2 linked regions of the Neurospora crassa OR74A genome follow. The protein of the gene in region 2 interacts with the protein of the main gene of each other region in a biochemical or structural test. Links are inferred from orthologs where the notes say so. Each region holds a gene or a part of one and is shown on either strand. Other genes may lie near its edges.

Evidence for each region.
Region 1: the proteins of NCU02587 (region 2) and NCU06438 are reported together in a solved structure, tested with the Saccharomyces cerevisiae proteins (2 studies listed by BioGRID, with this or other methods). The link is inferred for Neurospora crassa OR74A from reciprocal best matches to the Saccharomyces cerevisiae genes TFB3 and SSL2.

The regions. Positions count from the first base shown.
Region 1 is NC_026503.1:1,415,828-1,420,041, forward strand, and holds the start of NCU06438 (DNA repair helicase RAD25), read right to left. Parts: upstream 2,808-4,214; 5' UTR 2,574-2,807; coding exon 1-2,573. Other genes in the region: NCU06439 (zinc finger protein), read left to right, coding at 3,378-3,382, 3,510-3,553, 3,681-4,012. UniProt on the Saccharomyces cerevisiae protein: ATP-dependent DNA translocase. Component of the general transcription and DNA repair factor IIH (TFIIH) core complex. When complexed to CDK-activating kinase (CAK), involved in RNA transcription by RNA polymerase II.
Region 2 is NC_026501.1:2,825,125-2,828,835, forward strand, and holds NCU02587 (RNA polymerase II transcription factor B subunit 3), read right to left. Parts: upstream 2,181-3,711; coding exon 1,092-2,180; 3' UTR 570-1,091; downstream 1-569. Other genes in the region: NCU02588 (nuclear movement protein nudC, variant 1), read left to right, coding at 3,074-3,086, 3,181-3,392, 3,518-3,711. UniProt on the Saccharomyces cerevisiae protein: Acts as a component of the general transcription and DNA repair factor IIH (TFIIH or factor B), which is essential for both basal and activated transcription, and is involved in nucleotide excision repair (NER) of damaged DNA.

The DNA.
Region 1 (4,214 bases), on a different chromosome or scaffold from region 2:
AAAGCCCGACTCCTCTCCTTCTCCCTCTGCAGCTTCTTGAAGAAGGCGCTCTGCTCCGCCTTGGCGGCACCCTTCTTCTTCAACCCCTTATTCGCCGCCTTGTTCTGCTCAATGTACGCCATATCCTGACCACCACTGAGCTCGCCCAGGGTTCCAGCCATTCTCCGAACCGCCGCCGCTCTGCCCTTTGCGCCACCCCTTCCGCGCCCGACCTTACCAAACAGATCGTCCGTCTCGACATCATCCTCGGCGCCCTTTTCATTGTCGACCAGTGTGCGCTGCAGCAGCTCGCGCCGCTCCTGCGCCGTGGCGAAGGCCAGGTCGGGCGTGTTCTCGATGTTGGCCAGCTGCGTGATCACCTTGAAGGCGTAGCCCTGGTCGACCAGGAAGGCCTGGCGCTTGGACGAGTAGTACATTTCCTGCGTGTCTTTGGACACGAGTGAGTAAAAGAAGGCGTTGAAGCCGACGTCGTTACGGCGCTTGGCTCGGAGGATACGGCCTAGGCGCTGGGCTTCCTGACGACGGGAACCGAAGTGGGAGGAGATTTGGATGAGACAGGTGGCTTCGGGCAAGTCGAGCGAGGTGTCGCCGATCTTGGAGAGGAAGAGCGTGTTGACTTGCGGGTTGTGCTGGAAGTTTTCGAGCACTTGCATGCGCTCGGCTTGGCCGGTGCCGCCGTAGATAAAGACTTTATTTAGCTTGAGGGCGTATTGTTTTAGTGAGTACAGCTCGTCGGAGAAGACGATGATCTTGTCGCCGCGGGCTTCGTGGTAGTTGATCAGGTACTGGCAGGCCTGGAACTTTCGGGGGTTCATGGCGTAAAGAGTGCGCTTCATGCGCGAGTTGGCACGAAGATACTCGTCGTAGAACTCGGTGGGCATAGGACACCACACCTCTGCGCACTGGACCTTGGCGATGTGACCCTTTTCGGATAGCTCCATCCAGTTGGCCTCGTAGAGCTTGGGGCCGATTAGGAAGTTCAAGTGGGAAATCTTGTCGTCTTCTCTGAGCAGGGTGGCTGTGAGACCCAGCTTGGAGTGCGACTTGATGGAAGAGATAACTCTTCGGAAGACGTCGGCAGGGACGACGTGGACCTCGTCGAGAAGCATCAGACCCCATTCACGACTCTTGAGGAAATCCATCATCTTCTTGGAGTCGTGAGATCGTTCTCGGTTGTTGGTAACCATAGAATATGTAGTAACAATGATACCCGTATTACCAGAGAACTTGTTCTTGCTCTCAGCGGTAAAGACGGCAATATCGTCGGGGTTGATGTTGGACCACTTGAGGAACTCCTGGCGCCATTGCACGACGGACATACTGCTGGTACACAGGACGATGACACCCTTTTTGATGGTGCAGGCAGCCGTAATGCCGACCAAGGTCTTGCCTGCACCGCACGGCAGAACAATGATGCCACTCTTTGCTCTGCCGTTACCAAACATTTTGCTGAGACTCTGCTCCTGGTACGGACGAATCTGTGTGTTTGGTCGCAGATCGATTTCCAGATCCGCGTTATTAGAGTCGTTCCTGAAGTCGTACTCCTCCAAGATGGGAAATCCTAGGTCAAGACAGCGTCGTTGGACAATCTCGACGGCGGTTTCGGGGATCTCAAAGGCATGGACGGCGTCCTTGTCGTCCTCGTCGTCTTCCTCATTGATGGCTGCGTAGAGGTCTGCCTCGTTAGTCGCCGCAGCGTCCGCGGCCCCATCCTCGGCAGTCTTCTTGTTGCCAGACTTGTTGAGGCCTGCCTGGTTCACACCGGCGGCATCTTTGGTGCCGGGGATGACCAGGCCGCCCATGGTGGGCGCATAGGAGGTGGTAATATCACCGGAGCCCTGGACACGCCACTTTCCGATTACTTCATCGCGGAGCAGCTTCTGCAACAACTCGGCATCCGAGCTTTCTACAAAGTACTTGTTGTTATTCAGCACGAGTTTCACCTTGCCGTAGCTCTTTGTGCACGACTCAATGAAGAGACGAATGGACTCGGGCAGGGGGGTCTTGAGGAAGCGATCCAGGGTGTCTATAATATCCTTTGACTGCAGGCCAATGGACACACCAGCGTAGAGACTGTGGGCGGTCAACTGATACTCATGCAGGAAATGCGGCCGTGACTTGGGCTCGGCAATGGTGACGAGGAAGTCGGTGACGCGGTCGGCGTCCGGGCTGAACTTCTCGAGTATGATGGTGCCCTTCTCCGGGTCGATCCACAGCGGCTTCTGGTCGTGGTCGGGTTTCAAGTTCAGATACGAAAAGTCGCGTTTCCCGCTGCCAAAGAACTGGGTGGCGCCGTCACGATGACTGCCGCCACCGTCCTGTCGGGCCTGGAAACGGCTACTATCGACGGCCCATGTATTGACGAACTCGTCGGCCTCGCGGGCAATCACCTCCTCTTTCCTCTTGATGACCTCGTCGACGTCGTCGTCGTTCAAATCATCATCGCCGTCCGACTGGAACGAGCTCTCGAGGCTGCGGGGAGTCGCGGGGCCGGGAGTGGACAGGGCCGAAGTGCGGCCAGCTTTGGCAACGCCGGCCTGGGGGGCGCCGACCGCTTTTCGCTTGGGCGGCATTATGTGTATGACGAAAACGTGATCTCCTTTCTTTCTTTCTTGTCTCTGCTCTGTTTTATCTATTTCTAGCAGTTTCAGTTCTAGAAGGATGGATTAGCAGGCGGACAAATGAAGAATGCCAGTGCAGTGGCAAAAAAAGAATACAAGGTTGAAAGGATGGGAGTTTGAAATGGATGATGAAATTCCACTTTGTCTTTTGTACGCTACGGTAGATACCTGGCTCTACAAGCAGAGGTATTGTAGGGTACAAGTACAGCAGGCCTAGTTTGCTTACACTGCGGTTCCTGTCCTGTTATGGAAATTGTTAAGGCGATACCGTAGGAGCCGGGCGCCCGAGCCGCTGTGACAGCAAGGCCGACAGGGGCCAGACACGCTAGTTTAGTCATCAGCCACGCTTATTTTGTGGGGAAGCGAGTCTTCTGGAGCCAACCTGGAAGTGGAGGGAACCGTTCGGCGTTCAGTGCACTCCCTCAGTTGCAGGCTCCACCCGTGTCACCCGCTGTCCAGTCCGAAAAGCACCCCGCGTTGAGTGGTGGTCGGGTCGGTTCTGGTCTGGGTGGGTGGACGAAGGGGGGGGCGACGGGACGACCGCGTTAAGTGCCGTGATAAAGTTCGGTGAACCCTTTTTTTTCCGGACGTGAACATTGGCGATCAAGGAGAACGAAGCGACGTCGAAAGAATCTTGGTGTCGTACATACCACATAGAACCCAACAACGACGAAATATCATAAAATCAGGGATCAGAACGAGCCATCTACACTATCTACCTCTCTGCGCATAAGTAACCTCTTCCTGTCTGTCATCATGTGGTAAGTAAACTCCCACCTGCCATGCCATGACCTGACACTTCGGCATGCCTTCTACTTATGTTCCCCTTGTTTGCTCGTGTAGACCACTTCCACGAACCACCTGCTAACTAGATCCTCTCCCATCCAGTAAACACGTTCTCAATGCTCAAGTCTCCATCCGGTCACCATGCTGTACGTAACCTCAGTCTCAAATAAACGAACCACCACGATTCCCTATTACCAGTATACAACGACAACAACACCGAACATCGCAGCCATATAAACATGACCTCTAACTCTACACCCACCTCCTACGCAGGCCGCAAATGGTTCGACTGTCCCGAATGCCACGCCGAGTCCGAGTCGCACCCCCTTAAGAAGACACTCGAGATGACTTTTGCCTGCAAAAAGTGCAAAAAGTGTTTCCGCAAGGATGCGACCGAGTTCGAGGATTCCGACGAATACTGCCCGCACTGCGACAACCACTACATCATCGAGGCCGTGACGCCCAAGGCTGCTCTCAGGGTCGAGGGCGAGGATGCGAGAATGGATGCGCGCATGCTCAAGGACGAAAGAGTCAAGCAAACGAAGAAGACCATGAACCAGATCTCGATATTTGACCCGGATGTGGACGCTGATAAGCTTGGTTGAGTGGCTGGGCTGTTGGAGTTGGAGTTGAAGTTGGAGTTGGAGTACGGAATCACAACGCAGCGAGGAAGGGAAAAAAGAGATACCATTTAGAGAAGCATATAATCAAACTGGGTGGCTTGTTGTCACTCACATCATATTGCACATCGCACCATTATTCCGTCCGTTCAGGACCTTGCTTGGTCGTCATTCGTGGTATTACTTG
Region 2 (3,711 bases):
CCTTATGGCTTGTCTGGTTTGTTCGGGATGACACGAACCGGCAAGTCACGCATCTAGCGCGGCGTTCCTTTTGCTTTTTGTTTTATTTTCTTTTATTTTGTATTTTTTGAGCTCAGCTCTTTTTTCTCACCCGCCTTCGTTATTCGATTCGGCAATCCTGATCTTTCGGTATTGTTGCCGCGAGTCTTCTGACGGTGCCCCTCCTTAGTCTACCGAAAGGACAGCCAATGTTCGGGTAAGCAGGGCGGTTTGATGCTCGTACCTTCGAAATGGGTGGCAATAAGGCAGTCAAGGATTGACTGTGAAGAGATCAGGCTTTTTTTTCCGCCGTCGAGTGCTTCTTAACGAGCAGGGCCAGATACAAGGCTTAGCAGCGCAGCGCAAGGGGGAGGGGGGAAGAATAGTTGGAATGGAACGCTACATAAAAACGGTGGAATGGGGTCCGGGCATCTCGAGATAAAGGAGTGAAAGAGGTATGGTATGATAAATGGTCATACCATCAAAACTTTCAGGATTGGCTGCCAACACTCTCTCCAGGAATGGCCAGCAAGGGAGGCATACACATTTTTGCAGTAGGGAAGCCTGGAGGCTCTTTTTGTTTGGTAAATCTTAATCTATATATTTTTTTGGGCATTTTTGTGATCAATCGACGCACTCTTATTAGTCTGAATTTCTTTTTCTTCTTCTTTTCTCCATCATCATCGTCGTCCCAATCCCTCACACAAAACGTGGTCTTCAGTGACCTTGATACTCCTTACAAGTAGACAGATGGCTTGATGGGTGGCAAAGAGTAGTGAATGTACTGCAGTTCGCCAAGTTCTGTCTTATGTGGCTGCTGGACTGCGACCATTCGCATAATGAATTTCGAACCCAGAAATCCACAGCAGACCCGAATATTTGCGCCCTCTAAAACCACCGAGTCTGAAGTTGATCTATATGATGCTGGTCCCGCCTCATGTGTGTTCCTAAATCCAGATCCGTCGGAGAGGAAAAAGAAAAATATTCAATCGCTGAGTGAACGCCGTCGCTATGCAACAAAAACACCATTACCGCCAACCAAAAGGCCGGGGCATACCGGTCCAGAACCACTCTCAGTCCAAATCCATCTTATCCGCGTCAACCACAGCGGCGATCCCCGCCGCCATGCTCGTCTCTTGTGACAGCCCAATACCACTGCCGACCTCCTTCTCATCCTCAACAAACACACCCAACCCAGCAAACGCTTCATACAAGGCGCGCGCCGCAAAGTCGTCAAAGCTGTACCCACCAGCAACGTGCTGTCTGTCCAACCGGTACTTCTCCATAAGCGGGTGACTCAAGCCTCCATGTAGCTTGTACCGACTAGGCGCGAAGTCCATGCCTCCAAAGGGGTCGTACGGGCCCTGTGGCGCCGGCGCCTTCGGCTTCTCCTTCAAGCCGCGGATGGACAAACGCTCAACCTCCGACGCGCCCGTGCCCATTCCCGTTGTTGCGATGGCAGGGTTGGAAGCTGTTTCAGCAACCCGATTCACCTGCCCACGCCTCTTTAGCTGTACCTTCGTCGCCGGCTCCGCTGTCATAGCAGTGGTTCCCTTGGCCAGGTTATCCAGCTCCATTTCGCGACTCCTCACCCTCTCTCTTTTCTCCGCCTCCGCCTCCTTGATAGCCTCAATCCTCCTCTGCCTGACAGCATCCCTTTCGGCTGCCAGCCTCACTCTTGAAATCTCATCCGCCTCCCTCCCCGCCTTCTTATTCCGTTCAATATCCGCCCTATGCTCCGCCTCCCATGCCTGCAATTGCGCCTCCGCCTGCCGTCTCCTCTCATCCGTCCCATTGACAAGTTCAAACGTCAAATCTTCCACCATCTGCAAGTAATTATTATAATCCTGGAGCGTCTCAAAGTCGTCCTCGACTTGGTTGAACACCGCCGCCACGCGACGGCGGATGTCGACCTCGCGCTCGACGGCCAAGTCGCCGAAAAAAGCCGAGCGGAAGCCCTTGCGACGGAGCGTTTTGTTGCAGCCGGCGTGCGGACATTGATTGGGTCCGTCGTTGAAGAGTCGGTTGGCACAGTTGAGACACATGGAGTGGTAGCATTCGGGGTTGAAGACGAAGACGATGTCGGGGTTGAGGTACTTGCGCGATTTGCAGACGGGGCACATTTCGTCTTCGAAGCCGAGGGGGTCGAGAGGGCGCGCCATGGTGGGTGGTTTCTTTTTTTTTTGGGGGGGGGGGGGGGGGGGGGGGGGTTGTTTTGATAATTTCGCTTCGAGGAGACGGGGATCGATGTGCTGAAGTGGGATTTCCAAAGGTTAAATGATGGCCAAGAGAAATGTATGCTGAATTATAGCGAGGAGTGGGCGTTTCCCTTCGAAGGGACAGTAGTCCGTATCTGAGAACTCGGGACGTCTCTTGATGTGTCGGTGAGTGAGTGGCGATCGCGGCCCAAATCTTCTTTTATATCTGTTTGGTGATCGTGATTTGGCGACGAGGACTTGTACTCGTCTTGTTAGGTGATGAAATGTTGTTCTAAAATGCCAGCTCGGCTAGGCAGAAATTCCGGGTCACGCAGTCATGTATCAACGGTGGATAGGGAAGGTGATGAAAATCAACCAAGTGGAAGTCTGGGTGAAACCCGAGTGAGATTGACGATGTGGTGAAAGAGGGACTGATAAGAGTTATTATGCTTGGGCTGAATAATCCTTGTTTCCACTTGGCCCCCAACCGCGCCAGCGCTCCAATGGACGCTACCCTGGCGGTGCAGGGTGGGGCTTCCCAGATCATTCACAGCACGGCACTCTGCCGCGCTCATCTGGCAGCTCTGTCTCAGGGGACTGGACGCGGGCAAGCGTGGGGTGAGCAGGGGCTACCAGGGCAGTGACAGCAGCCGCTCGCGGGCAGCTCCTAGGATTGGGATTGGGCGGCCGCAGCCGTTCCATGCGGGTTACCTGCCCCTCCAGAAATTCGGTCATCGCGTTCAGGCGCGTTCCATCGTCTTCTACTTACATTACCGCACATTGCACCACTGCACCACTGCACCAAGCTGCCGTCGTTGCCCAATATCTACACCGAATTCAACAATACCACCTTCAACATGGCTGACAAAGGTGCGTTTTAGAGCTCAACTCCTCTTGCTCCCAAGACCAGAAAGTCCATCCGCCATCAACAGGTCCCACTAGTCAACTGACCAAACAATGTCAGACGTAACAGAGCTCACCCCCGCCGAGGAGGCCGCTGCCCGCGCCAAGGAACAAGCCGAGCAGGAGGCTCTCCCCTACAAGTGGACTCAGACGATTGGCGACGTCGACATCACCATCCTCGTCCCTGGTAACCTAAAGGGCAAAGATATGGTGGTTGAGATAAAGAAGCAGTCTCTTACGGCTGGTATTAAGGGTCAAGAGCCCGTCATCAAGGTAACCAACCTACTTGCCCACATATCTACAAATCACAACCCTTGCAACTTTCCAACGCCGCCTATACCATACCACCCAATGTCGCATGCCGAGTAGCTCGATTCTGACACCTCCCACAAAACCAGGGCGACCTCCCCCACCCGATCCTCCTCGACGATTCAACTTGGACGCTGTCCCCCGCTCCCGCCGGTCAAAAAGCCCTGGAGATCCATCTCGAAAAGCACAACAAGCTCGAGTGGTGGCCGCACGTAGTCACCAGCGCCCCGAAAATCGACGTGAGCAAGATCGTCCCCGAGAACAGCAAGCTGTCGGACCTCGA